Rhinolophus ferrumequinum: one gene and its partners. The protein of the gene in region 1 interacts with the protein of each later gene in a pairwise test. Links are inferred from orthologs where the notes say so. Each region holds a gene or a part of one and is shown in the gene's direction. Other genes may lie near its edges.

Region 1 (7,811 bases):
ACCTTCAAGTGTCTGCTTCTCCAACGTGAGCCCACGCCCTGGACAGTAGCACAGGGTAGACAGGTCTGAAGCTGGGGTCTATCTAACAGGCGCTAATGCCCTCACCATCAGGACTCCAGCCCCTCACGCTCCTGTCTTCCTGGGCCCTGCCCATTCTCCTCTCCTCATCCATCTGTATTTCCCTCCTGGTTTTCTCCTTCCCCTTCTTTGGAACCCATTCCCCCACTGAAACACAGAGAAGCCCTCCCAGCTGCGGAATCCAGGATGCTGACAGGCAGTTCTACGACACGTGATAAAAGGGGCCGGCCTGGTGGCTCAGGTGGTTAGAGCTCTGTGCTCCTAACTCCAAAGGCTGCCGGTTCGATTCCCACGTGGGCCAGTGGGCTCTCAACCACAAGGTTGCTGGTTCAATTCCTCGAGTCCCGCAAGGGATGGTGGGCTGCGCCCCCTGCAACTAACAACGGCAACTGGACCTGGAGCTGAGCTGCGCCCTGCATAACTAAGATTGAAAGGACAACAACTTGAAGCTGAACGGCTCCCTCCACAACTAAGACTGAAAGGACAACAACTCGACTTGGAAAAAAGTCCTGGAAGTACACACTGTTCCCCAATAAAGTCCTGTCCTGCAGCAGCTGGACCCACAGCCCCTGCCTTGAACACCATCCCAAATGGTCACCGGCCACAGTGTCCACCAATCCAAGCCAGGTGATGCATCTGCGGCCACCTACACAAGTCCTTACCTCCCAGGTGGGCTGTCTGAGCCAGCGCAGACACACAGGTATCTGTGCCTTGGCTAAGCCCTCAGGTCAGTGAGACTGTGTTCAAGGAAGAATAAAATACCCCTTTAAGTCACACAGAGTCGCCCTTGCACTTTTTGCCTCTACAGCAAGTCAGCCACTTGAGGCCAGGATGGTGTCTTAATCAGTGTGAGTAGGCCCCAGAAGACTGGGAACCCTAGTCTTCAGTGCAGCAGGTGGGCGAGCCCATGCTCAAATCTGCCTGCAGCTCCAAAGCAGATTCTACAGTGGAGGGGAAAATCCCCAGGGAGCTGTACAGCTGCTTCGCTAGGTGACCGGAGGGCAGGGGCACTCAGAGAATGGAGCAGCTGTGAAGGGTGGGAGGGTTGGCACGTGAGAAGGCCCAGGAGCAGAATGCAACCACCCCTGGGGGGGGATGGGGATTCCTTCCAAGCCCTGATGCTCCCCTGGAGTCCCGCGTCTCACCGAGTTTGCCCAGCAGCATCTGGCCTACGTCCTTGATGTCGTTGTACTCGTGCAGCTGGGAGATGTGGTCGTCCAGTTCATCCACACTGTAGCCTCTGGGTCAAAGGGTGGAGAGAGAGAATCGTTAAGAAAGCTGATGAGGACGCAAGGTTCAGAGAGTAATGAGGCATCTACTTAACAAATGGTCACTAAGGGCCTACTAGGTGCACTACACTGGGGACATAGAGATGGCAACACAGACACTGCCCACTGAAGATTACAGCAGGGCAGGGGTCAGCCCCTGGTACATGCTCCCTGTGCCCTTAGGGAGGAGTCCCAACCACACTGCTACTGTGACCCTGGCCACAGGTGGGCACACCAGTGGCTAATCAGATCCCCTCAAGTGAAATGCACATTCAAAAGCTGCTTAGTCTGTGCCATGTGGCTGGAGCAAGGGGTGTGAGAACACGCAGGAGTTGTGCAAGAACCAGCACCTCCCAGGCACTGAAAACCCCACCTGCAGAGACAGAATGGAGTCCGGGTGCAGACAGGTGCAGAGCCGAGAATGTGGGCCCTGGAGAGAGACTGGGAGAGCGATAACCTCCATTCCTGCCAGCTTTCCAGTCCTAGCTCTTGGTCCACCCAGCCTGACCACACCCGACCCCAGAGAGGCTGCTGAGACACCATGAACCCAACGGTATGGTTCTGTTTTTATGCTGAGCTAGTATGACTGCGTTGCAATTACTGGGCTCGAGTTAAAAGTTATCTGAACGATGCTGAGGAACCCAGTGAGACTCACTCAGATATTAACTGGGAGAGCTCCTTGTCCAGCACGTCCCTCTTCTCCTTCAGTTTCTGAATGTCAAGGTGCACAGAATCCTCGTTGGCCCCAGCAGCCTGGCCAGACTTGGGAGACGGCCGCTGAGTGGCACAAAAAGTCATTAGCCAGACGGAGCCATTGTCCCCCATTCACAACCTACACGTTTTCCTCAATATTACCACGTCTGCTTGGTAATAGACACCTCCCCACGCCCGAATAAGACCACATTTCCCAGCTTCCCTTGGAATTAGATGTGGCCCTAAACCTAAGTTCTGGCAAATGGAACTTAATCAGAAATGGTGTATGCAACGGGACACTGGAGCTGCGCAGTGTCTTGGATGATGAGATAGACGCCACGTTGAAGATGAGGTGCAACAAGACAGAGCCCTGGGTCCCTGATGACTGTTAAAGCCATTATTATTTGGGGTTTTCATTCACTCCCAGCCAAACCCAATTCTAACTAAAGGACCATATCTGACTCCAGAGAATCCACGTCAGGTCTACTTGGATTCTTCTCTCAAGTCTATGATGTTGCTGGGTTTATTTCATTGGATAACAAAATCTTTCTCTGGGACTACAATTCATCTTTGCCCTTTCTGCCTCTCAAAGCTGCGAAGGCGAGTGCCTGGTATGCTGCTACTGTTCAGGAAACGTGTGTTGGATCAACTGTATGAACGCTACCAGAACAGACGGAGGAAGACGTGGTTCCAATCTTCCAGCCAGTCAACAAAGACTACCAGGAGCTGACAAAGGCTCCAGGGATTCACCAATGGAGAAGACAGCAAGCCTGGCCCCTGCCTTCATGGAACCGATAGCATAGTCCCAAATATAAAACACCAAACAACTATGCTCTTCTTGCAGAGATCTCCATTTAAAGTTCTACTCACAGGTCACACTTCATCAGAAAGGCCTTCTCTGACCACCCCATTTAAATGGGTACTTCTCAAAGACTCACTATCCCTTTGTCCTGATGTTTTATGACATCTGTCACCACCGGACATGTTATGCCTTTCAGTGAAAATATTTTCCTTTTCCCTCCTTTCTTCTGCCACCCCACCCCACCCCACCCCACCCCACCCCCGTTCAAGCCGTTGTTTCTCAGTCTAGTTGTGTAGTCCATGCTGGTATTGAGTCTTGCGCTCCCCCAGGCTGAGGCAGTTGGTCACAGGTCAGCCACTCACAGAAGCTCACACACCCTCCGGCTGCTCACGGGCAGCCCAGCTCCAGGGAGAGTTGTTGTTCACAATCTTAGCTGTAGAGGGCGCAGCTCACTGGCCCATGTGGGGATTGAACCGGACGCCTTGGGCTTTAGGAACACGGCACTTCTACAGCCTGAGCCACCGGGCCAGCCGGGAAATATTATTTTCATTGTCGGCCTTACACCACTGGAGTGTAAGGTCCATGAGGGCAGGGACTTTGTTAGACTCACTGCTGATTGCACTGTGTCTACAGTAGTACCCGGCACATAGTAGGCATTCAATTTATCTAATGAATGCATGAATTACAAATAACTAATCAACTAACTACAAGTCTTTGAAGTTGAGTGCTTTGAAGTTGAAGTGCAGTGTGCTACAGGCGTGTCTAACAGGGTCGCTGGACTGAGCTAGAAGTGGGGGTGAGGCTTCTCTGAGAAGCTCAATTCTACAGGATGAGTAGACATCAGCTTGGCAAAAAGCTGGAAAAGTATTCCAGACAGAGGACAGACGGTACATCCAAACGCCCTAAGACAGGAGAGAGCACATATGTTGGAGGGAATGAGAAGGGTTTACCTGTGGGTGGGATGGGTGAGGGAGGGCATGGTGGTGTCAAAAAGAACCAACCCCTTGTGGTGCTGTCAGGAAGGAGAGACAGAGCCCACTTGGAGAGCCTGGGGTGCCATTGACAAAGACAGGGCACTGCTTCTTCTTTGAAGCTTGGTGGGCACGAGGAAAAGAAGGGGAAGGGCTGAGAAATAACCCAGAGTTTCTTCGGATAAGGGGAAACCTTGGAGAGGGCTGGGGGTGGGTCAGCTGCTGTGGGGATGGAGAGGACGGCTAGGAGCAGCAGTACTTACACGGTGGAGGGTAAGGGGGGCGCAGGCATACTCACAGGGGATCGGAAGGCCCCGCCGCAACTTTTGGAAAGTCCTGGTTGAGTCCTGGAGAGGAATCCGAGGGAAAAAATGGCTGATTGGACCTAGAATTCGCTCCGGGAAGAGGGGGTACTGTGGGGGTGTTGGAGGAGTTGGGAAGTAGGAGCTACCGGCACTGGATCCAGTCGGGAAGGGGGCAGATACGCTCCCGGGATCAGGGTGGAGATCCTCGAGGAAGGAGAGATTCTGATAGGATGGAGTGTGTAGACTGGGTCGGGGTCTCGAGGTGATCTCTGGGATGAGAAAGTCTGGGGCAGACTTATGGGAGTCAGGTCAGGGATTGTGAAGGGATGAGTTTTCCCCCTGCAGCCCGCTCCTAGCCCACCTCCTGAGCCCTGGGGTCCGGGGCCCCCGTTTCGAGGGGGTTTGCTGTGCAGAAGGGTCCAGGGCGAGGGACGGAGCGCGGCCTCTCAGGTCCGCGGGTTAATCAGAATCCTGCGATGGAGCCCAAGAACCGTCACACAGCGAGCTGCGCGCGCACCCTGAGAAATAAGGCCCCGCCCCTCCCCGAGGTGGGCGGAGACAGGGGCCGCACGCACATCTTTTGTCGTGACGTCTTTCTCATAGACCAATAGTATTAGAGAATTGAGGCCCCGCCCACACCGCTGCGGCCTAGTTACCCCGGTCCCTCCTTTTGTGGCTCCGTCTCGCACTTGCGCCGTAGCGACCGGAAGCACACTCCGCAGTGGATGTCGGGTTGTGGCTCAAATTGTCCCGCCTCCTCCGCCCCCGTCCCGGGATGTCGGAAGAAACCCGACAGAAGAAATTGGCCGCGGCCAAGAAAAAGGTAAAACGTGCCGGGTCGCGGCTCCCTGACCCAGCCCAAGGCCCCTCCGACGGCTGGGCCGTGGCCAGAGTATGTGCCGCCTCGGAGGCACACGGGGCAAGCCCCTCGGAGCCTGTTGGCTCCCCACCAAAATCTTCTCACCAGTCCCACCCCCCCACTCCCCGGCAGCCCAGCCCCCGCCCTCGCTTGTCGCTCCCGGGTGACTTTGGGCCGGTAACCCCCGGGACTCCCGGCTCGGCCCTTGTCTCCTGCCGCCAAGAACCGGACCTTCTGGGCTCTCTGGGCTCCGTGGGCTCCCTGGACTCCCAGTTGCTAAGGACCTCGGTCCGGGCCCTGCGCTCCCTTCCCCCTCCGCGGAGCGGCGACTGGGGCATCCATAGGGAAGAGTGGAATGTAGTTACGTCACAATCACCCTCGGAACCGTCTTTACAGCCGCGAGCCAGGTGTTCGATCTAAAGACCCAGCCTCCTAGTGTTTTCGCTCTCTCCGTTTTCTTTGGTCGCGGCACAAATTTCCACCTTGAAGGGGACTCGGCACTATGGGACCTAGATCGGAGAGGTTTCAGGCTTCCTGTAGACTGTACCCCATGCTTAGACACTGATAGCGTAAAAAGCCTACATTTCACTAGTGATCTCAAAACGTTGACCACATCTCTGGGTGGCAATGGGGAGAATGTGTTTAGTTTGGTTTTCTCCCGTTTCCAGTCCCCAGAGAGTGTTCCTAATTTTTAATCTGAATTCTCTACCTCACGTTCTAATCATGCCCTATGATCCTGAGACCAGATTCGCCCTCAATCAGTGTTCTTTGGTGTGAGCTCTGCTTGTCCTCTGTGGAGCAGATCCCGAGAAACTGCTCTTCACAGCTGGGAATCATCCCCAAATCATCATCTCAACATGGGGGGCTCTGAGTGCCACAGGATAAATATGGGACTGAAGCATCCGTTTTGCTGGAGGCTCTTGAGAGAGAAAAAGCCTTTTTATATTAGTGCATTTAGGGATTACATTTACATAGATTTGTAAGATTATAATAGACGTCTCTCAAAATGGTGCTTGAGTTGTCTTTGCTACAATCGCAGATTCACTAGGGGTGTGTCTTCACTGCCTTCTACCATTGGGCTCCATTGATGTCAAAGTTTGAGAAGTACTGCTGTGCATCTCAATAGATGTATAAGAAGGGACCCTCATGCCTGATCACTTCAATGTTTACTTTTCCACCTCTGCCTCTGATTTTGCCCCCTGGCAGCTGCTGCTTTATGGCATAACCCCTGGACCTCAGCGTCAGAAGACTGAATTTAAATTCCATTATTGCCTTTTTTTTTTTTAAAGGCTATGTGATCAGTCCCTTTCTTCAGCCATGAAGTGAGAATTACAACACCTTGTAGAGTTGTTGTGGCATCGCATCAAATGGCGCATATGAGTATTTTGTAAACTGTAAAGTAGGATGTGAATACAGGGCTTTATAGTTCTCGTGAGTCTTACTGCGTTTCCTCTCTGCAGTTGAGAGAATTTCAGAAGAAAAACAACCTTGGTGTTCCTTCAGGAGCAAAGAAGAAAAAGAAAAGTAAAAATGGCAGTGAGACAACCACTTCTGATGGTTGTCACTCGCCTGAGGAGGTGAGTCTTGGCTGGCCAGGCTACTGGGGATGGAAGACTAGAACTTAGTGGTTAGATTGTGGAAGAAGTGTCAGGTACTGGTTAAGAAGTCTGGATTTGAATCTTATTTCTCCCTCTGCTAGGGATATGATTTGGGGAAATTCTTTAAGCTCTTTGGGTCTGTTTCCACATCAGTAAAATCCGGGTACTACTTACTTACCCTCATGGAGTTTAAATGAGACTGTTGTTTCTATCTGAATCCCTTAAATACAGAGCCTGGTGTAGAGTAAACATTCAGGAAAGGGGAGTTGCTATTGGACTTACTGCTCTGGTGGTTTTCCTCATCCCCAGCCTCAAGGGGAGGCCACTTACTATCAGGCTCTCCCTTTAGGAAGCACCAGAGGAGCCCCCGGGTGTGGTGAGGAGAGCCCTAGGCACTGGATTAGGAGTTTCGAGCTCATCTCAGCCACAGCTTGCTGGGTAACCTCAGGAAAAGGACTTCCTCCCCTGGGCCTCAGTTTCCTCATCTGTAAGATGATATTGTTGGATCAGATAATGTCTTCCAAACTTATGTTTTAGCTGTAATCCCCTTTGGTTCAGCAAACCTTTACTTGGAAATCGAGGTTTTAAAATGGAGATGAGGGTCTGGAGCCCTGCCAGGTTCGCCTCTAGCAGCCTGGGCCTGAGGAGAGGGGCTAATGGGCATATTCAGAGCTGCACTGGTCAGGTGACTCCACTCTTTGTGAGTGCATCGTTCAGGGGACTTTTCCATCTGTTCCTTGGCGTTGATTTCTGCCTCTGGCAAGGCAGCAAGCGGCTGTTTGGAACGATGGCACAGGCCGTGGTGTTGACCTTCTTCTCTCTCCTCTAGCATTCTCTTTCCCGGAACCCATCTCTTCTCCCTTCCCTGGCCCTCTTGCCTCTCTCTAAGACACTTTTCTCTGTCTCTCCCTGCCCTTGTTTTTCCCTTTCCGCCTCCTGTAGATTCAGGACATTCTGAAGGTGCTGGTGTCCGACCTTAACCGCTCCAATGGGGTTGCGCTGCCCCCATTGGACAAGTGGAAGGTGAGGCATGCCGAGATCCCCTCTCTGGCTTGCTCTCTGTCAGCTCTGCACGCCCCCAAGGCTTCTCTGGTTTGGGGGATACTTTGCTTCTGGCTTCTTTTGTGTTGCTGTCATTAACCCTCGGCCTGTTCATGTCTGCTTTTTCACCTGCTTGATTGACTGGGGTTTTTTTTTTTTCCCTCCCCCCATATCTTTCAGCATCTTGGAAAAGTTG
Region 2 (6,960 bases), on another chromosome or scaffold:
AATTGGTAAGGTTGACAGTTATTCAAGTTGCGTTGTATTCTTTTGATTTCTAACTAACAAACAGTAATGCAATAGCCATTGAAAAGAAGAAGATCGGCGTGATGGCTGTAAATTGTAAAAATAGATTGGGCTAATATTAAGCAGAACTCTCCTCTTTTATAAAGAAGACAAATTGCCCCAGAGAGCTTACATTTCTTGTTTTAAGAAATGATTCCTCCCCCTCATCTATTAGTAAAGTTCTCTTTTGGACAGATGCCTAAGGATGAGGAACTATATGAAGCAAAAGGAAAATAACCAAGAATTCAACTGAGAACGTTCTGGCGGATAGTCATTAAAAAACAAATACCAACCAACCCACCAACACAAAACCAGGCAACTGAAAATGAGTAGGTGAAAGATTGCCAAGGCAGAGAAACAAGTCAGATGAACTAATCCCCCTCTCACCTAACCATTTAGGGTGAATGTTTTATAATAAGAAATCTTGAATTACATTTTAAAATGGAAAAATTCAGTTTATGTCTGTAAGTTTTCTCAACCCAGAACTGAATCTCAGTCTATTTCAGTCGTTCATACGGATTTTTATTTGCAAGTCAGTCATCATTATGTTGTGGAAAAACACATTTTCTATCACTGTAAAGAAACAAAAAGGAGAAAAAAAGTGAAATAAGTATGACATATTTGTCAGAACTGAGGAGATTCTTGTCTCATGTGACCTTCAGAGCACTGAAGACAAAGTACTATATGACTCACGATAGCAGTATAGCCGGTTTCCTTGGCCAGGGGCTGTGTCCCCAAGACCTGAATTACCCTAGGGAGGGCCGTTTTCTATGGAAATACACATAAACTTCAAACTCTAAAAAGATCAAAGCCTTCTGTATTATAACACACAAATTAGCTCTTATCTTTAGGCTGCTATGCTGTAGTAGGTCCTTCTGGCCTTAAAAAACATATTGGTGGTATAGAGTTTTACCTTTCAAATGAGAAGATCCTTTCATATCAGGTGCTTTTCCTGGAACGGTGTACCTTTATTCGATAGGTAAAAACTCTTGTGTTTGTAAGGGCCTTTGTTATTTGTAAGGTGCTTTTCTTTTATTAACTTCTGATAATTCAGTTTTTCTGTTTTTAACTATGGAGAGTTAGAGAAGGATTAAGTAATTTGTCCTAGAGTCTGTGGGAGAGCCAGACCTGGAAGTAGGGGGTCTAGCTGTAAGTAATGTGATCCTCATGTTGGTCTCATTCTGGTCAGCGCGTGGATCTAGTACTAAACAAAAAGTAGACAGCATAAAATGAAATGCTCAGTAAGTAAAAGGGATTAGCAACTATACAGATACTCCCTTTTTGAGGTGCCCCAAAGTGAAAACATGCATTAAAAGACAACATTTAACTTGGTTTAAAGAAAAAAGGATGATAGGGAATTTTGAAACATGATAACTATCCATGAAGAACAATTTCTTTTTATTCCCGAGTCACATTTTGGAGCTATTGACAAGAGTGCTTTGCTGTGATAAAATGCAGGACTTAAAACTTGACATGAATTTTGTATTATACCTATAGGTGAAAGGAAAAATGCATTCAATCAAAAGTAATAATGTATCTAGCTTGCCAAACAATCCATTAAAGAGTTATTCCATCAAGTCTTGAGTGATGGGGTTGTTATTTTCTACCTTATCTTAGCACTAAGTATGTTTTACTCACCATTGCATCTCTAACACCAAGCACAGTCCCTGGCATAACAACACTTACATGAATACATAAATATTGGGCTTTAGTTAAATTCTGGTCCTAGTGCTCCATTGAATAACTTCGTAAATAAGACAAATAATTAATTTCTCTTGACCTTACTTTTGTCCTCTGTAAAAGAGAGGGCTTCAGCAGGATTGATTTCTTAAGGATCCCTGTGGCTTTAAAATTCTGGTTCTAAAAATCTCAAATGCAAAATTTGTGTTCACACTGCATGTGGTATTGGGTTTTGCTTTTGAAACTTTCGTGCATAATCTCAACAGATTATTTTCTTCCAGCGCAGTGGAGAGCCAGTAAGAACTTACTACATGATGGGAAATGAGAAAAAGCAGCCGTTGCAGTCTGATGAAGGTAATTCACCATGGGGAAGAGATAGCACCATGAGCAACACAAGTATTGTTACCTCATAACACTAGTATTGTTACCTCAAACACAAGTATTGTTACCTCATGACACGAGTATTGTTACCTCACACAGTAGTATTGTTACCTCATACACTAGTATTGTTACCTCAAACACTAGCTAAGAGGTGCATCTTAGGCAGCTGTGGCAAGATTCTTCTCCCTATACTTCTAGAAGTTTGCAAGAAAAGCTTATAGAAAATGCTTTCCCCTATTTCCAAATAAAGATAATGTACCAGATCTATAGACTATTAGATTATCCTGGCAGAGGACTTGATGGAATCAGTCAGAGTCCACACATTTTGCTCCTTTATGGAAGAACCACAATGTAATTAGAATTTCTGTATAGAATTCTCTACACTAGCATGACATGACTATTATTTTTATGTTGTTTTCCAAATTCAGCACCTGTGGGACACTTGTTTCTGACATTTTTTGGTAAGCAGGATACGTGATGCTATAAGTTAGATTGTATAGAAAACTGTTTCATGAAAAGACCAATGACTCTTCTAGAACACTATATATTCTTTTTTTTTTTTTTTTTTTTCAGAATAGAACAGTGTTTCCCTAAGTAATACTTCACAAAAGAATGGTAGTTTTCTGGAGTATTGGATATCATTAAAAAATAGGTAGGTAGGCAACTAAGTGGATAGATAGGTTAGATTAGATTAGATGGGTAGGATTTCATGTTTGGGGAAAGCTGGATTAAGCAAATTTAAATATTTTTCTTGGTCGAGGGTCTTCTCAGAGCTCCTAATGTGTGATCATGCCATGTGGATCTCTAAGTGGCTGAGGTAGATACTGGTATACAGGTTTCCCGAAACATGTTTATTTAAAAATCCCCCTTTTCCCCTTCAGAGTATTCTGTGGAACTTTAGCCTCATGGAACACAATTTGAGAAATGATCTATACATGATGACTGTAGAATTTTCCTTGTCAGAATTTTAGTTTAGGCAAGGCCAAAGCAATTAAAAAAATAAATGTCAAGCTGGATATGCTATCAAGAGAAAACAGCATTATATTTGGTTACTTACAATGATGTATTATTTTGAATAAAATTGTATTTTATGTAATTACTTTCATTATTCACAATAGGGTCTCTTTTATGTGCAACACATGATATGCTGTGGCTGTATTCATTTAGCCTAGGACTTAAAAACCTAGGATTTAAAGCCTAGGATTTCATTGATAAATTATAAGCTGGACAGAGTCTTAGAATTGCCTAAATTGACATTAAAGGACTTGTTTTGAGAAATACCATGTATTTTAAATTATATAACTGATGACATGTGCCACAGCCACATTATTGTATTGTGGTCCATGTCAACATTGTAATAGTTCATTTTCCCCAACTTTTCCAAATGTATTGCATACTCAGGAATATACAAGTAACTCGTGAATTTGTAAATTTGACACAATGGGCAGAATTGAAAGAGTATGACTGTTATTTTTTGAACCAATGATGTTTGTAGAATTCTTAAATGATATACCAACCTATGTTCACTGCAACTTCTCATGTTTAATCATGTTTATAATTAAAATAATATAGCAGTATAGGATTAACAGTCATAATTAAGTCAGAATAGATTCGTTGAAGGGTTCAAAGGTCTTTCCATAATAAATTACTTGCCTTTTAATCAGCAAATATAAAGTGAGTGTTTTTTAGAATGTGAGAAGTACATATATGTCTCTTAAAATATTTAATTTAGATTAATGAAATGAATTTAAATGATCCAGATTCACGATAGCAGATCAGAGCTATGTCTGATATTCCAGTGAGAGCTTTATTTAGAAGGAATTGAGGAATCTTTGAGATAACAGGCTTTGGACTGTGCTATCTTGAATGTGATAGCTAAGTAGTTTTTCCCAGAATCTTGAAGTCTTTTTCAAGCTCTTTTGTGAATTGAATTAGTGAAATATAAATAAATCGTCTTTTCTGGATTTCTTAACCCGTTCCAAGAAGGTTGACTTTACATTTTCATACAATGGAATTTTGCCTATTAAAATGTTACTTCCACTTGGGAGGCAGTCCTGGCCGACCTCCGGCATCTGTTCCATCCACTCACACAGAGTTGTGATAAGGAGAGTGAAGTATGAGCTAAATAGGGAGGAGGCCTGGGTAAGCTCATTTCTGCCGAACACCAGACTCCAAGATCTCAAGAGTGCTGCAGTACATAAAAAGTGCTACATTAGTGAATTACAAACTACATAGATAGACAGAGAGGGTAAAAATGAGGGTCCCTGTATCTGAGGATGTAAAAGATGAAACTGAAGAGGAAAAAACAGAGGAAGACGAAAATGAAGACGACAAGGTGAGTGGGCAAGCACCTACTGAAGAAGGGTATTTGTTCCTCTCAGTTGATGATTAGAAATGTTTCCTTTCCCTTTTTTCCGGATAGGTATTCTTTAAGCCTGTTATTGAAGACCTGAGCATGGAATTGGCCAGAAAATGCACGGAACTCATTAGTGATGTAAGTGGCTTATGCAATTTCTGTCTTATTTGGCATTGTATGGGTGGCAATATTACGTCATGGAATCAGAGAGCTGGAGAGAAAAATCTTGAAATCGTCTATTAAGACACAATTATTTTCCAGATCATGGAACTGAGTCCAGAAATTTTAGGTGATTTCCCCAAGATCACCCATAAAGAGAATTTCTGCAGAAGCAGAATGCTGTGCTTTCGGGTTTTCGCTGTCACTCTGCCGTGAAATCATAAAGCATTGAATTCAGAGACTGTTCCTTTCGAGAACACAAAGCCTTTTACAATTTGTATAATAATGTAATTTGTTTTGAGAGGATGTCTGCCTAAATGAATGATTTAAAAAAAACATTTTGGGGACTTTTTGAGGCATCTGATGAACGCCATAGTTTTCCAAACCAGAATATACGTGCATATAATGTTGATATCCAATATAGGATTCCTGGATAACTGAACTACGTGCTAAGAACCCTGAACTAAATGATGATGATGATGATATCAGTGAAAAGGAACATTTTTGTTGTGACTTTTTTCATTAACTGGGATTGGTTTCTATTTCAAGGGAATCCTAGACTTATAGAGTTAAGTCATATATTTTTACAGTAAATTAGAATTCTGGAAGCACAAGGAAAAGTATTGCTCTCTAGGGATGAGAGTTTAGATGAGCCTCATTAAAACCTGTGTAAGGGAATTGCTGGGACAGAAGAAAGATGGAGCATGGAAAGTGAATAGATGCCTGCATCCGTGTTTAGAGAGGTGAGCACAAAAATGGTTGTTTCTGTTGTGAATGAACAAAGAGAACAGAATATTTTACAAATGTTTATTTTCAAAGGAATTCAGTCCTGGGCAGTGGGGTAGTGTTCTGGCAAGTTCTCTGAAGTCAACCTGTTTGAATCAACAGTCACCTTGGGCAGGCTGGCTGGGCTCAGTCCCTTCAGTAGGACATGTGTAATAATAAGACTGAATAATAGTGACACATCTGAAATGTTTAGTAAACTGGGACATTGTGGGTACTCAAGAAATGCTAGCTGTTACTAACTACTACGTGTGCAAATGACTTGTATCCGTCCAACCTCAGTTTATGTATAACTCTGTGCTGCCTTGTAATTTGTCAGAAAGAACCAAAGGATGGTGGGAATCATACCCCTGCCAGGCATTGCAGCTTGTGAGGTAGGTTCTATTGTTTTCCCCATTTTAGAGGTGAGGAAGTAAAGGCTCAGAGACACTCAGTAACTTGCCTGGGTAACACAGTTAAGCAGTAGGGCGTAGGACTTGAACACAAAACCTTCTCTCAGCCATGCACTGGTCTTTTTCCTGGTCCCAAACTTCAATTTAAAGACAAACCTTCAAGTCCCTTAGTTTTGTTTTCTAATTCATTATATTCTGAAGGGGCATCCATGTGCTTACCCGAGCCTTTTTGTTTGTTTGAAGGCAATCTGTCTACAGCCTATGTCACCAAGAGAATTTGGTATATATTTTCCTGCTCGTACAGTCCCACATCCCGAAGCTTTCAGAAGCAGTCTCACATTGTTGATCAAATCACGCAGCTAGTGAACCACAGACCTGGGATTTGAAGCAAGGTCTGTCTGACTCCTAACCCTTGGCCACCACGACGTCCTTTCTCTCCTGCTGTGTGGCAGACGTTGTGTTCTGTGCCACAGTGAACCATTGGCGTAGGGTCTACGAGCCTCAGTTCAGAGGTGGTACAACCTAAGGCCGAGTAGCTTGCCCACGGCCACCGGGCTAGTCAGGGGTAGGGACAAGATTCAGGCTTAGGTCCGGCTAAGTCCAGAGCATGGCTGGTATCCACTCATCACTCTGCTCCATTTTATTAGATAAAAAGGGCAGTTTTATGGGTTTCTTTTCATGGAGCAGCCTTTCATTCTGTCTCTCTTTGGACCTCTTCTAGCTCGCATAGGTCTTTAATGGGGTGTGATGACCAGATCTGTGCCCAGCAGTCCAGGTGTGTGTGGTCTGTGATTATGTATAGGGTGGGACGATGTTCCCTTTTGCTCCCTCAATGCTTTGTGATAAAATTTAGAGTTTCTTGGACTTGGAGGCTGCAGAGAGCTGTTGGACATCATTCTCAGCCATTTTCAGGCCTACATTTTGACTTGTAGCTGATTGCTTAGGGCTATCATCTTTAAATAGTAGCCTGAATGATTTTCACCTTGCTAGGGATGAATGTCATCTGTAGTTGTCTGCCCTGAGGCACGGCCCTTTGAAAGCCTCCCCAGTTCATGGCTTTCATTTTGCCGTTTCACTCTCCCTGAGAGCTTGGGGTCATCAGCAGACCTGGAGACTTTGCTGTATCATGCCCTTGCCAGATAATTGATTAAA
Region 3 (7,324 bases), on another chromosome or scaffold:
AAAAAATTACAAGGGAAAAAAAAGGTGGCGCATAAACATGTAGGGCAGAAGTCGGCAAACTTTTTCTGTGAAGGACCAGATAATAAATATTTTAGGATTTGAAGACCATAAAGTCTCAGATGCCACAGCAACTTGTCAATTCTGCCATTGTAAGAAAGTGGCCATCGACAATATGTAAATGAAGGGCATGTTTACAGTCACATAAAATTTTATGGACACTGAAAGTTAACTTTCATATAATTTTCACATCACACAACTATTCTTTGTTTATTTTTAAAAGCATTTAAAAATGTATAAAACCAACCTTAACTCTCAGGCCATACAAAAACAGACAGTGACGGCTAGTTTGTGGGCTGTAGTTTTCTGCCTCCTGCTTTTAATTAAAAGAAATTAAGAGGCACATCAACTGATTGTAACTTACGGACTTTGTTTAGATTTTTGTTCAAACAACAACAACAACAACAAAAACCAGTTAAAAAACATATATGCAATCAGGTGATGTGAACATTGATTGGCTATTTGATGACATTATAGAACTTTAAAAATATTTTTGTGTTCCTTTGGGCACCCTCCCACTGCAGTACCCTGGAACGAAGGGAAGGCAGAAAGACTACAGTTAGGGGCAGGCAGGAGGAACATGGTTGACAAGTCATGGGGCAGTCATGGACTCCCTCGAGCTCTGTGCAGTTCTACTAGTACTGGGAGCCTTGGCTTCGTGGACTTGCTAGAGATAACGTGCAGGCCATCTTCTATTACTCCAGCACTCTCTGCCACTGAAGACGCTTTAGAGAGGCATATGGATCTCCCTTTGGATCCTTCCAGAAGTAGGAGTCCTTCCTTCTGCAGTCAGCCAGCCTGCAGCCGGCCAGCCCAGCCTGGCTGCCTGAACCTCCCCTTGGCTCCTCCTCTTTTGCTCCTTCTCATGATGCCACAGGAGCCTCTGAGGTCCTTCTCTGAGCTCCATGACAACCAGGAGTTAACAAACATTCACTATAGGACCTTCAGTGTCTATTTTAGGAAGAAGAATGATGATTTTAGAGGGAAGGTTTGAGATGCAAAAAGGAATGATAAAGACAGCGGCAAACATACGATCTAAACAAATGTCTGTATAATATAATAATGTATAATATAATAATAATTGTAACAACAGTAATGTGAATTCCAGGTTTAAAAAGAGGACAGAACTAAAATAGCATGGGAGGGGAAAATTGGAGTAAAAGTGTTCTAAGGTCCTTGCATTGTTTCAGAAGGGTGTTTAGGATATTACTTTTAGACTTTAAGCACGCATGTTAAAATTTCAAAGACAATAAATAAGAGCGTGTAAACTTCCAAATAAGTAGAGGGGAAAATGTAATATACTTAAGATCAGATCTTTATGAAGATTATAAAACTTCATTGAAAGATATTAAAGAAGATCTAACAAATAGAAAGCTATAGTACTGCTATGTAATGGGTTGGAAGGCTCAGTTTGGTAAAGAAGTCAAAATTGCCAAATTGATTTATGGCTCCAATGTAATTTCAATCAAGATGCCAACAGAATATTTTGAACAACTTTACAAGCTAATTATGAAATATTTATGGAGGGGCCAAAGCCCAAGAATAGTTAAGAAACTCCTGAGGAAGAATAAGGAGGGGGAATCTCAAAATATCCATATATATATCAAGATTTATCATAAAGGTATCGTAATTAATATCACATGATAGTAGCATAAAGACCGACACTTTTACCAGTGGAGTAGAATAGCACCAACAATATTCCTACTCATTCCTGAAGGCTTGACACCTGACACAGGCGGGCCTGCTCATCACTGGAGGAAAGAGAAACTATCAATAAGTGTTTATTCCTTTGAGGAAAATCAAATTGGCTCTCTGCCTCACACATACAGAAAAATCAATTCCAGACAGATTAAATGAAAAAGATAAAAATCTTAAATTTGTACAAGAAAATATAGAAGAATATTTTCCTGACTTCAGGGCAAGGAAGGACTTCATGAAAAGACACAGAGAGCCAAACACAAAAGAAAGGGTTGATAAATTCTACTTCATTAAAGTCAATAACTTCTTTTCATCAAAAATTTCATAAGGAAAGTGAAAAGATAGGGCATGAGCTAGAACATAATATGTGTAAAAAAGCAGAATGGACTAAAAGATGAGTGTCAGGAATATATAAACAGCTCCCACAAATCAATAAGAAGACAAATGCAAAAAAAAAAAAAAAGAGCAAAAGACATGAACAGGCACTTCTAAAACGAAGAAATCTAAATGGTTAATAAATACACGCCAAAGTCTCAATCTTATTAGTGATCAGTGAAATGCAAATTAAAACTTCAATGAAATACTATTTTACATCCACTCACCTGGAAAAATTAAATGTGACAGTACTAAGTGTTAGTGAAGATGTAAATCCACAAGAGTTCTTATACATTGTTGGTAGGAGTGAAATTGGTACCATCAATTGGGAAGACTCAGTCTTCTACTGCAAAAGTTGAACATTGGCATACCTTTCTTTCTCTTTCTCTCTCTGTAGACACACACACACACACACACACACACACACACACACAAATTCTGACAATTGAGTTCGCAAACTTGTTGCAGTGATGTTGCTAACCTTTTTTGATATCAGAGGGATTATTTGTTATGAATTTGTACCAACTGGACAAACAGTTAACCAAGTTTACTATTTGGAAGTGCTGAAAAAGGCTGCGTGAAAAAGTTAGACGACCTGAACTTTTCACCAACAATTCATGGCTCCTGCATCACGACAATGCACCAGCTCACATGACACTGTCTGTGAGATAGTTTTTAGCCAGGAAACAAATAACTATTGGAACAGCCTCCCTACTCACCTGATCTGGACCCCAGTGGCTTCTTTCTTTACCTAAAGATAAAGGAAATATTGAAAGGAAGACATTTTGATGATATTCAGGACATCAAGCATACTATGACAACAGTTCTGATGGCCATTCCAGAAAGAGTTTCAGAATTGCTTTGAAGGGTGGACTAGGCTCTGGTGTCGGTGCATAGCTTCCCAAAGGGAATACTTCGAAGGTGACCATAGTGATATTCAGCAATGAGGTATGTAGCACTTTTCCTAGAATGAATTCACAAAATTAATTGTCCGACCTCGTGTGTGTGTGAGTGTCTGTGTTGCCAAAAAAAAGTATACACATTTTAAGAAAGGAAAAAACTATTAAAATTGTAATACTCAATATATACCAATAACAAAAGATGAATACAAGTCACGTTTGACTTCTGCAATTACAAGAGGTGTTCAAAGTGGTTACCATCAGTATCCAGATACTTCTGATTATGGCATACTGCTTGACCAATGTTGACCAAAGTGTCCACTTGTATACACTTTTTTTGGCACCCCCAGTATCTATCTATCTATCTATCTATCTATCTATCTATCTATCTATCTATCTATCTATATCTATATATCTGTATCTATACATAAATATGTACATACATTAAATTTATTGGGGTGACAATGATTAGTAAAATTACATAGGTTTCAAGTGTACAATTATATAATACATCATTTATATGTCACATTCTGTGCTCACCACCCAGAGTCAGTTCTCCTTCCATCACCATATATTTGACCCCCTTTACCCTCTTCTACCACCCCCACCTCCCCTTACCCTCTGGTAGCCACTAAACTGTTGTCTGTGTCTATGAGTTTTTGTTTCTTTGTTTGTTTGTCTTGTTCCTTTATTGTTTTCAGTTTTATATCCCACATATGTGTGAAGTCATATGGTTCTCTACTTTTTCTGCATACCTTTCTATATCCTATAGATCCTATACTAAAATCTCTTGCATGCATACACCAGGACATAATTTGGGTTCTTTTCAATAGCTTCTCATTTCAAATTAGAAAAAAACAAACAAACAAGTGGCTTTATCACTGAATCAATAAATTGAGGTATAGTCACATAATGGAATATTTTCCAGCAGGGGAAATGAATTACAGATCTATATACAAAGTGTATTATTATAGGAACAACTTTGAACGAATCAACTTGCATTTGCAAAAGATAACATACAGCATGATACCATTTTTATAAAACTTCAAATAAGAAAAATGAAACAATGTATTATTTCAATGAGGTATGTAGCACTCATTGAAACAGAAGAGAGATTTAAAAAAACTTTTAAAATGGGATACAGAAGAGAGATTTTAAAAAACTTAAAAAGCAAGGGCACAAGAAACACAAAACTCAGGAGAGAGATTACCTCTGGCAGGGAAGCAGGGAGGTGGGATAAGGAAAGAACAGAGGTAGGAGGAGCATCTGTGCGAGGTATGCTCCGATTCTCAGGTAGGATGGTGTATTCATGGGTAGAAATTTGACTACCATGTTTTATAACTATATGCATTCTTTTGTATATATTACATGATATATATGATATTGATACGTATATCTTAAATTTAAAAATAAAACATGTGTGTGAAAAAATACATATAAAACTCCGAATCCCTTAAGATTTTAACTCCTGAATGTGCCTCCCCAGGCCCTCGGAATCTGGCCTCAACCGCATTCTCCGTATGTCGCTCCTCTGTCTGCTCCATGACATTCAGCTTCTCCAGCCACATCAGATGCCCCTCAAGCCTTTACCAAACTGTTCGGTGTTACCTTGCACCCCTCGAATTGCCTCTTACGTCCCTTTCCCTGCCTTTCCTCTCAGAGCCCCAGATTCCTGGGCCTTCAAGCATCCCCCTTTGTGCCCTGTCTGTTCCTGGACGCGCGCACCGCGCCCGCGCCGTTGGCCCCGCCCGCGCCCCCCAGCCCAGAGCGCCCCCGCCACGCGCCCGCGCCGTTTGCTACGCGCCCCGCAGTTCCCTTGGGCAGTCCCGCCCGGCGCTGCCGCAGAGCCCTGGACCCCGCGGCTCCGCTGACTTGGGGCTGTGCCCACTGGGAACTGGCGGGGCGCGTCGTCCCTTGCCAGGCCCCGGAACCCGCCGGGCTGCAGCAGAAGGATGGGTCTGAGCCGCGTCGTCGGGAGGAAGGGCCCGCTCCGCCTCCTTAGGTTTCCCAGATCCTGCCCCAAACCCACCTCAAAAATGGCAGGTATAGGACCAAATAACAATCAACCTGTTCCTGGGCACTCAGCTGTGCCTCAGTCTGGGCGCTGAAGGAATGGGGCCCCACCTTACCCAGCCGCCGCGCACAAGCTTGGACCGGTCCTGGGTTGTTCTCCAGGTCCTAGCAGGATGTGGCACCCGCAGAAAAGTCCTCATGTTTGCCTTCAAGGCTCCTTCTTGTAGATGTTTATTGGTAGTACGAAATGCCTGTTAATAATAATGAGTGAATAGGAGGCCTGACAACTAAATTCACAAACTCACCCTAGAAAAAGTGTTACATACCTCATTGCTGAATATCACTACGGTCACCTTCAAAGTACTCCCCTGGGGAAGCTATGCACTGATGTCAGCACCTAGTTCACCCTTCAAAGCAATTTTGGAACTCTTTCTGGAATGCCCATCAGAGCTGTCATGGTATTACCCTTGATGTCCTGAATGTCATCAACATGTCTTCCTTTCACTATATCCTTTATCTTTAGGTAAAGAAGTCACTAGGGTCCAGATCAGGTGAGTAGGGAGGGTGTTCCAATACAGTTATTTGTTTACTGGCTAAAAACTCCCTCATGGACAGTGCGATATGAGCTGGTGCATTGTCGTGATGCAAGAGCCATGAATTGTTGGTGAAAAGTTCAGGTTGTCTAACTTTTTCACGCAGCCTTTTCAGCACTTCCAAATAGTAAATTTGGATAACCGTTTGTCCAGTTGGTACAAATTCATAATGAATAAGCCCTCTGATATCAAAAAAGGTTAGCAACATTGTTGCAACAGGTTCGTGAGCTTAATTCTCAGACCTTGTATTTCGGAATGATCATTTATTATGAATTTAATCAAAGCAAGGTAGACATCAAGTGACTCTCTCGGGTATCTACCCTCCCACTGTACTTCAGGTGGCAATGCACAAAGGTGGCAGTGCCCCAGCAGGTTGAGTTAAGAAGGACGCTAGCTCCGCAGAAGCTTTTGCCATCAGACTTAGCCCCAAGGTTTCTGCGATCTGGGATAGAGGCAACTCTAACTTCATCTTTTCCCGGAGTCTGTCCCTGGGAATTCCAAAGTCTCTCTTTCGCAGAGGAAGTGAGCCCTTTCCAGCACCTAGTCCCACAATTTCCTTCATTCATCCAAAAATTGATTGAAGGTTAACCAGGAGCCTGGCAAGGTTCTAGACGATAGCTCCAAGCCCACCTTTGCTGTCAAGGTGATCACCTGAACCCTTCTTTCACAGGTCCACCACCACCACCACCACTACCAGCACCATGGCAGCAATTGTTGTTTAAATCGCTTTTTTTTTCTTGAATTAGGAGAATCTGTGGGATCTCAAGTGTTGGTCCAGCTCTCGCTCAAGCAGCCAAAGCAGGGTCCGTTAGAAAAGAGAAGAGGCGTCCAGCAGGGGTAAGATTCTTTGTATGGAAGGGCTGGGTCTTTGGGTGAGAGAAGCCTTTTGAATTGACTTTGCTGGCAGTTCTGTATAACAAATCCTGATGTAGTTTCTGTGCAAAACAGCCTACCACTAACCAGTATGCAGAAGGCGGATATGGTCCTGGCAATAGATTGTGACCAGGCTTGGGACTCGCTGACAGAAAGTGTGTCCTGCAGTGCTTTCTAGCCACTGAGGCCTTCTCCAGAACCCTGAGAATGGAAATGCCTTCAATGGTGCTTACAATATTGCCAGTTGGTCTCACTAACTAATGAATGATGCAACCTTCTTATACATTTCCTCCATTCACATTCATTAAAAACATGGTTTGCCTCTTTTTAAATTCTGAGGGGCTGAAAGTTTCCAGAAGAGCTGTACTGAATATGAGGGATCCCCACCCCCACCCCCCATTTAGTATACTTTGGAGAAGAGTTGACGCATGAGGAAAGATAAAGAAAATGCCCTTTATGGGTTGGTAATGTACCACATATGTACATGCGCATATGCTTTCTCATTTAGCCCTCGTGACAACTCTGGAAGACAAATATTATCATCTCTATTTTATAGATAATAAAACTGATTTCGGACCGATTAATGTACTAGCTCAAGGTTGGACAGCAAGTATCAGAGCCAGATTTCAAATCCAGGTCTTTTTGGCCCCAAAATATTTCATTCTACTATTTAAAAAGCATATTCTTGTCTTCAGTTTCAGTTCTCTCCTCTCCCGCAACATTTAGTTTCAAGAGACAAAATATACTGATTTCTTTCACGTTATTTGCGGTTATAGTGCTGTGATTCAATAGGATTTCTCAGAAATATGGAGCTAA
Region 4 (7,962 bases), on another chromosome or scaffold:
TTACTAGTGTTTGGGAAATTGGCTAAATATTTGGAAAAATTAAGATACAACTAGATTCTGACCTAGGATACAAAATATACATATTAGTATATAGTATAGTATACTGTATTTATATACCCCACATAAAAAAATTAAGTCCCAAACAATGTGAATTGACTAGAATTCCATTTCGAATAGTCTTAAAATTGAAAAGCTAGGTCTAAAGATACTGTGGAAATGCTTCAGAGGACATTTTCAGTGGGAAGTCTACAAGCAATACAAAGTCAACATATTTACTTAGCTCAGCTTATGTATGTTAGAAGCACGATGGTACAAGCCGACTTCCTAGGAGGAATAAAGACATATATGAAATCTTTTTCTCGGGGAAAATGAATGCGATCAAATTAAAGATGAATTGAGCGTGGAACAAGAACCAAGCTGAGAGGCAGCCCCAGTAATGCTGTGGGTATAATCCCCAAAGTGTGAAATAATCCTAGGTTTGAGAAACGCATCTGATACAAATGTAGGGGAACATTAGTGTGTGTCTGCGCCATGGGAGCCACATTTCCAGCTCCAATTGTCCATTGCAAGTTTACTACATGCTGCTGACTCTACCAGCTTGTCGGGTCACCCCCTTTGGTGCGTTTTGAGTAGGGGGTCTGGGGGCATTGGCTTTTGCGTTTGTGCGCTGTGTGTGTACTGGGTTAATATCAGGTCTTGGGACTCAGAGGGGGCTCCCAGATCATCAGCCTCACCTCGAGCTTGTTGGAAATGTGGTATCTCAACCCCACCCTCCGAATTAGAAAATGCATTTTGACAAGATCTCCACCCACACCTTAAAGTTTGAGAAGCGCTTAAAACTTAAAACTCTGTTAAGTTTAAAGAGAGCAATAGTAGCCACCTGTGGGTAAAGCCAAGCTCGGTCCAAGTTTTACGTAGAATATCCTTGTCCCAGCTTCTCCATTAATCGAGAGGTTAAATTTCATCCTTTTGGATAAAAGCTATAACTTCCTTTTTACCCTGACTTCACTTGATCATCCGCCCTAATTATCTAAAATATGACCCAGACTTAGGAATAATTTAAAAACCATTCCAGGTGACCAGCATGGACGCCTTGATATCTACATATCAGAGTTTCTACGTTTTACCTGTTGGTGAGATCTCAGACCCTTACAATTCTAATCATCTTGGTGCTATGGTCCCCTGCACACACAAAACGGGAAGCAGGAAACTAAAAGTAGGGCACAGGGAAAGAAGTAAAGTGCAGGTTTGGGGTGAGGTATACAGTGAGAATTGACGGTAGAAAGAATAGCTTTAACATTTTCACAGTTATTTAGTTTTATAAATCTTGTTCCCACCTCAAAAACAGTAATTCAAATCATAGAGACGTGATTGTCAGACTGGCTGCACTTTAAATTAGCAGAGGAGACCCTAAAAAAAGAAAAGTTGTACCCAAGCCTGCATCTCAGGAATTCTGGCCTCATGGGTATGGGGTGGGGTCCAAGCACAGTTGTTTCACAAAAGCTTCCTAGGTGATTCTATTTAGCAGTCAGGGCTGCGCTCCACTAGCTTAATGATTTGGGGCCATTGCAGGGCCCACAGGCCTGGATGCCTTTACAGGCCCATTACAGCTTGCTGTAATCATGGGTGATGGTTACCAGGATTTTCTCTAAAGAGGAAAACACTTGATATATTAGCAGCAATTGTAACAGAACATAAGATAACCTAGAACTAAATGATACAGAGACACATATTCAGCTCTTGGGTCACAGAGAAATCTAGAGGGACTGGTGGAAGGAGGCCGACACCTATCATCTCTCCCTCCTGGTCCTGCCTCTGTAACGTGCCCATGAAGCACTGGGGGATCTTGTTACAGTGCCGATTCTGACTCAGTAGGTCTGGGGAGGGCTCGATATCCTGCAATTCTCATGAACTTTAAGTGATGCTAACGTAGGTGGTCCGGGGGCCAGCCTTCAGGAAGCAAGGCTCTGGTTCCTACTGCTGGCCATGACTCACCCTCAAGGACCTTCTTTGGAACCCGACAAGAAGGATGGCTTCCTCACTCAGGAAAAATGAATTCCACTGGAATCCTTGATATCCAGAACCACTGTGCTCAAAACTATAGGCTTTCCTGAACTAAGGTGTCATGTGGGATGTCATGCGGGGTCTCTGGTCCCACTTCCCGTATAAGAACACAGGACATGGTGAGGCCAAAAAGGAACACCCACGGAGCCATAGATAGGGGAGTCATATCACTAGAGTCTCGCTGGCAGCTGGGTTGGAAACACAGGAAGCAGGAGCCACACTATCCGCAAACTGCCGTCCACTTCTCCCTGCCAATCCACCTCACTTGCTAGCTGCAATGCGCCGTGCTAACTGCAATCTGCGCTTGCTAGCTCAGCCACCATCTTCTTGCTAGGCCCTCATTTTTCTGCTAGCGTAGCAACAGCAGTTATATTAGTGGCCAATGGCTCACTGGTTACAGCTGACGGCCAACTAGCCACAGCTGATGGCCATCCAATCACAGTTGATGGCCATTTACTACCTGAGCCAGCACCTTTCCACGTGAGGCCGAGAGCCTGGAAACTGCACTCCTGGCTCTGTCCCCACATAAGGTCGCGAATTAAATCTTATCTTCTGTTAACCGTTCCCTCCTCCCACTAGGCAACTCTATCAGAGGTTCAGGGTCTGTTAGTTAGACATGGGCTTAGAGAACACCTAGCTTGGCCCATTCATTACAAAAGTGTGGCAATGAGATGGCAAAGGATGGCAAATTTCACAGGTCAAAGTCCAAAGTGGATCCAAGTCAGGACACAACAGCATCAATTAAGAATTCTTAAAAAAAAAAAAAGTCAAAATAATTGCTTTGCGTTACTTTCTGCATGAAACATCCACTTGATTATTCTCAGGGAGCTGGCAGACTAATAAACAAAGCGTTGGAAGGAATACAGAACGCTAAAGTGAGACTGACGGGCTGTAGAGCCCTAAGATGGGGCTGAGAACATGCTGGAAAGGCTCCCTGTCTCTGAGACCACACGACAGACGTTGTTTCCCCTCTCATGAAATGCCATAGAGAAGGCTCCTCATCAGCCTTCTTTCACTTTTCATTTTCTGGAACCCCTTCTCAAACGATTTTCTAAATCCTTCCCAATAATGACGCGTTCTCTTACGCAATAGTAAGAAGCCCTCGTGTGAAACTGAAGAAGTACATTGTTCTTTCAAAGACGGGGATCAAATTCCCAAAACATTCAGAAAAGAAGTGTAGCCAGCCAAATGGGTCTGATTCTTGTCCCATTATGTGTTCCTTTGTGGCGTCTTAGGAAAGCAGAACAACTGCTAATGAAATCGACAGACCCGGTGGCATTCCGGGTCCCGGAGCCATGGATGTGGCTGCGTCAGTGGCCACATGGCTCCTGGGTGCCCGTTCCCTTGCCACAAGAGGCCACACTAGCAGTATTGTTTAAACTGAACTCGTTTACCATTTTCAACCTCAAAGCTCAGGAGGAGGCTGAGACTCCCCCACAGAGCGTATTACCACATAGTCTCGGCTGCCAGGGGCTATCTGGATCTGGAAGTAAAAACAACCCCCAGGGAAATCAGCCTGAAAGCCACAAATTTGAATACTATTAAGTACTAACACCACTAGGGGCTGCACTGGGAAAAAGCTTTGCTGGGCTGGCGTCTCCTCCCTCGGCTCCCAGTTTTACTTGGTTTTTGTCTTCCATTTTACATTCCTGGTAAATCCAATTATACCTCTATTACTGGCGGCCACCACTGCCCCTTCTTGGGCTGTCTGGATAGGCAGAGAAGTAGATACATATCTTTGCTGCCTGGGGATCAGATAGTCACCTCACTTTCATGACATTTAAGAAGACCACAACTTATTTTCTAGGTGCCTAGTCAGAGGGACAGGAAAGAGCTAGGATGAGGCACCAAACTGCTACCAGTGGTGATTTTGGAGCACTGAGGCTGGAGTGCGTTTTACACATTTCTATTTTGCACTTTATTTTCTTAATCGCTTTGACGGACACGTGTTATGGCAAAATGCAGTAAAATTGTTTTCCTTATTTGCTGTAATTTACAGAGAGACAGTTTGGTCATATAAGCCAGGGATTTTTTCATATCCATCGGAGTCTTGGAGTGGAGGGAAGGGTTTCTTTTCAAGTATTGATTTCGAACATTTTCAGTAATGAATTCAAAGCCTATAAAGAGAAAAGCCCTGTTTCTTCACCACCATGTTTCACAATAGCTATTAGATGCGCACAGCAGCATCAAAGCTGTGGAAAATGCATGGCTTTTGTGTAGAAGTGGGAGCAGGGCTTCAAAAGTCGCACTTCGCGGAGGAAATTGATTGTGACACCCAAAGCCACAGGCTGGAGGTGATGACATGACCTGGGGGAGTCCAGGCCCTGTTCCGGCTTGCAAGGGTCCCTTCGGATCCCAGCAGACATGGAGTGGGCGCTGGCTCTGGGTTGCCTGGTGTGGGCTGTGAGTCACGGAATGGGGTGTGGCTCGAAGAGCCACACACCGTGGGTGATGGGACAGTGGGGTCCTAGAGGAGGGCGCCAGCGCTTCAGGACAGAAGACAGGGCCAAGGCTACAGACCAGGGTACCTCCGCATCAGTGGAGAGTTGGGGACAGAGGGCAAGGCCGGCTGGCCTCCAAGGATTCCCGGGTCTGTGCGCTCAGACACCGCCAGGATCCAGGGCACAATTCAGGACTTGGCGCAGGCGCAGCTCCGGATGCTGTGGGTCGCTCCACCACGCCCTGGGCCTGGCCCATCCTGCCCTGCGCAGCTGCCTTATCCTGCCCTGGGCCCCGCCTGCCTTGCTTCCCATTCTCCTCCCGCCCTGCCGCTTGGGGGCGCCCGCGCCATCCCGCTATAAAGCGTCTAGGTCCTGCGTCCCATCAACAAGCGAGAGGCCTTCGGAGGCTCTGGCTCTTGCTTTAGAGCGCCGGAGGGTCATGGGCGAGCTCCCGTTCAGCGTGCAGACGGCCTTGCATCCCGACCACCTGTGGATATGGCGAAAGGCCGTCTATGTAGACGAGAACCAGCGCACTTGGCTGCCCATCTCCATCAAGGTACAGCCACTCCGGGGCTGGGCTGGGCAGGGCAGGGCAGCATGGGTGTCACCATCCCTGGCCAGCCCTTGGGTGCCAAAGACGTCCCAGGCTGTGCACGGCTTCCAGGAGCCCCTCAGGTGCAGCGGCAGGGAGGCTCAGAAGGCCTGATCTGCTCGGGGCTCACAGATGAAACCATTTTGAGCTGGTCTCTAAGGAGAAGTAGTTCTCCAGGCCAGGAAGGAGTGTGGGAAAAAGATATGTTGGCCAAAGAATGGGGACCCAGTGCCTCGGGAGTGTGTGAATGTGATCTTGAGTAAAAGAGGAATTTTCTGGGTTTCAGGGTCCTAAGCCATAAAATGGGAATAATATCTCTCTAAAATAATTAATACGTGCATCCGATTATCAGTCTCCTTAGGTGCGCCCCAGAAATCGGTATTTTAAAAGGACCCTCAATAGATGTGATCACCAAGTTTGTGAACCACCGCCCTAGAGTTTGGGGTAAACAGACTTCACAAACTTATATAAATAATATAGTAGTATAAAAGCCAGTATTAAATAAATGTTGACTTTGTTTTATGTGTGATGACTTAAGGTGGAACTTAAGTTAATGATAACTTTTTTTAAAAAGAAATCTATTTCTCTTTAAGTACTTTCCATCATAGCATGGGTTGCCTCAAAGAAAATTAGGTGGAAAATGCAGAAACTTTCCATATGTAAACCGAAGTAAGAAAGTATAAAACCAAAGTTAAAATATGTAATATTAGAACTTTATGTAATAGCAAATAGCAAAAAGTTATTGAGTAGTGACTGTGTCCCCATTTTACAGGTGAGGAAACTGAGGCATAAAAATGTAAATTTGTCCAAAGTAACACTGCTAGTTAGGTAATGGGGTTGGGTTTCCACCATCTAAATTTGCATCTTTATTGGTATATATGTATATATATATATACTTTTTAAAATCAAGTAAAATATTTACTTTTTTAAGTCAAATATTTAAAACAAATTTAAGTGAAAATCTTTTTAATCTCCAGCTGGGGAATATCTTCTTCAAAATGACTGAAACCACAAAGCAGAGTTTTTCACATAATCATTATAAATTCTGCACAAAACTTAATGCATTAGCAAACAGTGCGACAGGATTTACCTTACGTAACTAAGACGCGTATTCTTAACATGTAAATCAACAAGCAAAGGATGAATAAGCAAACTAAAAATGGTTAAAGGATATGGAAGACTATGTACTAACACAACAAGAATGGTGATTTCCACATCTACACCTTGCAGAATGATCTGAATTATTTTTTAACCCTGAGTTCTACTTTCATTCATGGACAGAAAACTTTTAGAGGCTATTTCCACTTTGGAAAAATAGTCGTTGAACACACATGAGTGCCTAGTTTATATTCCAACAATGATTCTAGGCCGTGGGGGTTTGCAGTGAATGGGATAAAAATCCCACTACTTGTGAAGGTGACATTCTACTGGGCGAGAAGGACCATAGATAATTGAGGTCGGTGTTAAGTTGTGTAGGAGAACAAAGGTGGAATGAGAGACAAAACCAGTGGGGTGTCGGGTCTTCAGGCAGGACCCCCAGGGAGTCTTAATTTCCATTGGCTTGTCATGCTTTTGCCCATTTAATTTGAAACCTTCTGGAACCTCTGTTTTAGGTATGCCTCTTGTGTATATCTAGAATTGGATTTTGCTGAAATTTGTCTTTATAGAAGACATGCATTTGAGTAGATTCCTGCCTAAAAAAAGGGTGTGAGTCCCACTTAGACCTAGGGGAGAATGTTCCGGGCAGACAACAACAGGTGAAAGAGACTACTGGGAGTGTCACACGTCCCAGAAATAGTGCAGAGGCTGTGTGGCTGGTACAGGATGGAAAGTGATGGACAGACGGTAGGAGAGGAGGGAGACAGGCCCGGCTACGTGGGGCTGTGGGCTATGGTAAAGATGTCAGTTCATTCTGCCTCTGATAGGAAGTCATCGGAGCGTGTCCAACAGGGAGGGGAGTGACATACGTGATTGTTAGCCACACACCCTGGCTGCTGTGCCGAGAACTGACACTTGGGGAGTACAGGACCAACCAGGCGGCAAGTTAGGAAGTCATCGAAGTAGCCCAGATGGGGATGGCAAAAAGTGGTCTGTCACCTGATTCTGGGATCCAGGGATATCTTGTTTAAAAAAAGATATATGATAAAATAAAGAAAATCCTACATCAGCTGAAGTAGGCACCAAACCGCAGAGTTAAGGAAGCTCAAGGGCCCCGTGGCACAGCCTAGCTACTAGAAGTTCGTCAGAAAAGTGGGCCTTTGTGGCCCTGTCTGGATGTCCTGGCCCAGCCAGAGTCCCTGAGAGCACGTATGGCTTAAGGAATAGAGTTTCTAGAACAGTGCTTCCCAGAATCTCAGATGCCAGCCAGCCAGGCGAGTGGCAGGAAGAATCTAGTTATTTGTTCCTGGGGGAACCCTGAAGGTGTGCTCTGGTCTTCATTTCTCTTCAGACAGAAGATGGCCTCCGAGTACTCTTACGTCAGGAAGACATCCCCCGGGGGGAGGCTATGCGCCCCAGCCAGCTGCCCCCCAGCCCGCTGCCTTTGATGTGGCAGCTCTACCCTGGCAGACGGTACCGAGGCTCAGACTCCAGTTTCTGGCACATAGTGTACCACATTCAGGCAAGTGTGTGCTTCTGCCAGGGACCCGTTGGGTCATCTTGGGTGGTCCTACTGCCCCTCCCCCACGTCTGGCCTCTGCAGTGTATCTGTTCCCTCCTTTTCTGCACTAAAAAAAAAAAAAAAAAGAGGAGGGAATTTACAACTGCAGATTTTGAAAGGACTGTATTGAAGTTAGAAGTGAATGGTCGGACTACCCTGGGAGGCCTCTACCAGAAGCCCCCTCAGCCGCAGGAACGCCTCTGTGG

What was found.
Region 2: the proteins of GOLGA2 (region 1) and NEBL interact in binary tests that used the Homo sapiens proteins (3 or more experiments, as listed by UniProt). The two-hybrid records come from large-scale screens. The link is inferred for Rhinolophus ferrumequinum from reciprocal best matches to the Homo sapiens genes GOLGA2 and NEBL.
Region 3: the proteins of GOLGA2 (region 1) and PLAAT5 interact in binary tests that used the Homo sapiens proteins (3 or more experiments, as listed by UniProt). The two-hybrid records come from large-scale screens. The link is inferred for Rhinolophus ferrumequinum from reciprocal best matches to the Homo sapiens genes GOLGA2 and PLAAT5.
Region 4: the proteins of GOLGA2 (region 1) and TCL1A interact in binary tests that used the Homo sapiens proteins (3 or more experiments, as listed by UniProt). The two-hybrid records come from large-scale screens. The link is inferred for Rhinolophus ferrumequinum from reciprocal best matches to the Homo sapiens genes GOLGA2 and TCL1A.

Annotation. Positions count from the first base shown.
Region 1 is NC_046295.1:77,184,151-77,191,961, reverse strand, and holds the start of GOLGA2 (golgin subfamily A member 2), read left to right. Parts: upstream 1-4,795; 5' UTR 4,796-4,892; coding exon 4,893-4,940; intron 4,941-6,436; coding exon 6,437-6,553; intron 6,554-7,516; coding exon 7,517-7,597; intron 7,598-7,811. UniProt on the Homo sapiens protein: Peripheral membrane component of the cis-Golgi stack that acts as a membrane skeleton that maintains the structure of the Golgi apparatus, and as a vesicle thether that facilitates vesicle fusion to the Golgi membrane.
Region 2 is NW_022680355.1:6,076,265-6,083,224, reverse strand, and holds the start of NEBL (nebulette), read left to right. Parts: upstream 1-3,951; 5' UTR 3,952-4,372; coding exon 4,373-4,453; intron 4,454-4,540; coding exon 4,541-4,612; intron 4,613-6,960. UniProt on the Homo sapiens protein: Binds to actin and plays an important role in the assembly of the Z-disk. May functionally link sarcomeric actin to the desmin intermediate filaments in the heart muscle sarcomeres.
Region 3 is NC_046294.1:7,754,946-7,762,269, forward strand, and holds the start of PLAAT5 (phospholipase A and acyltransferase 5), read left to right. Parts: upstream 1-4,306; coding exon 4,307-4,322; intron 4,323-4,714; coding exon 4,715-4,999; intron 5,000-6,381; coding exon 6,382-6,472; intron 6,473-7,324. UniProt on the Homo sapiens protein: Exhibits both phospholipase A1/2 and acyltransferase activities. Shows phospholipase A1 (PLA1) and A2 (PLA2) activity, catalyzing the calcium-independent release of fatty acids from the sn-1 or sn-2 position of glycerophospholipids.
Region 4 is NC_046289.1:7,766,249-7,774,210, forward strand, and holds the start of TCL1A (T-cell leukemia/lymphoma protein 1A), read left to right. Parts: upstream 1-4,944; coding exon 4,945-5,061; intron 5,062-7,546; coding exon 7,547-7,717; intron 7,718-7,962. UniProt on the Homo sapiens protein: Enhances the phosphorylation and activation of AKT1, AKT2 and AKT3. Promotes nuclear translocation of AKT1. Enhances cell proliferation, stabilizes mitochondrial membrane potential and promotes cell survival.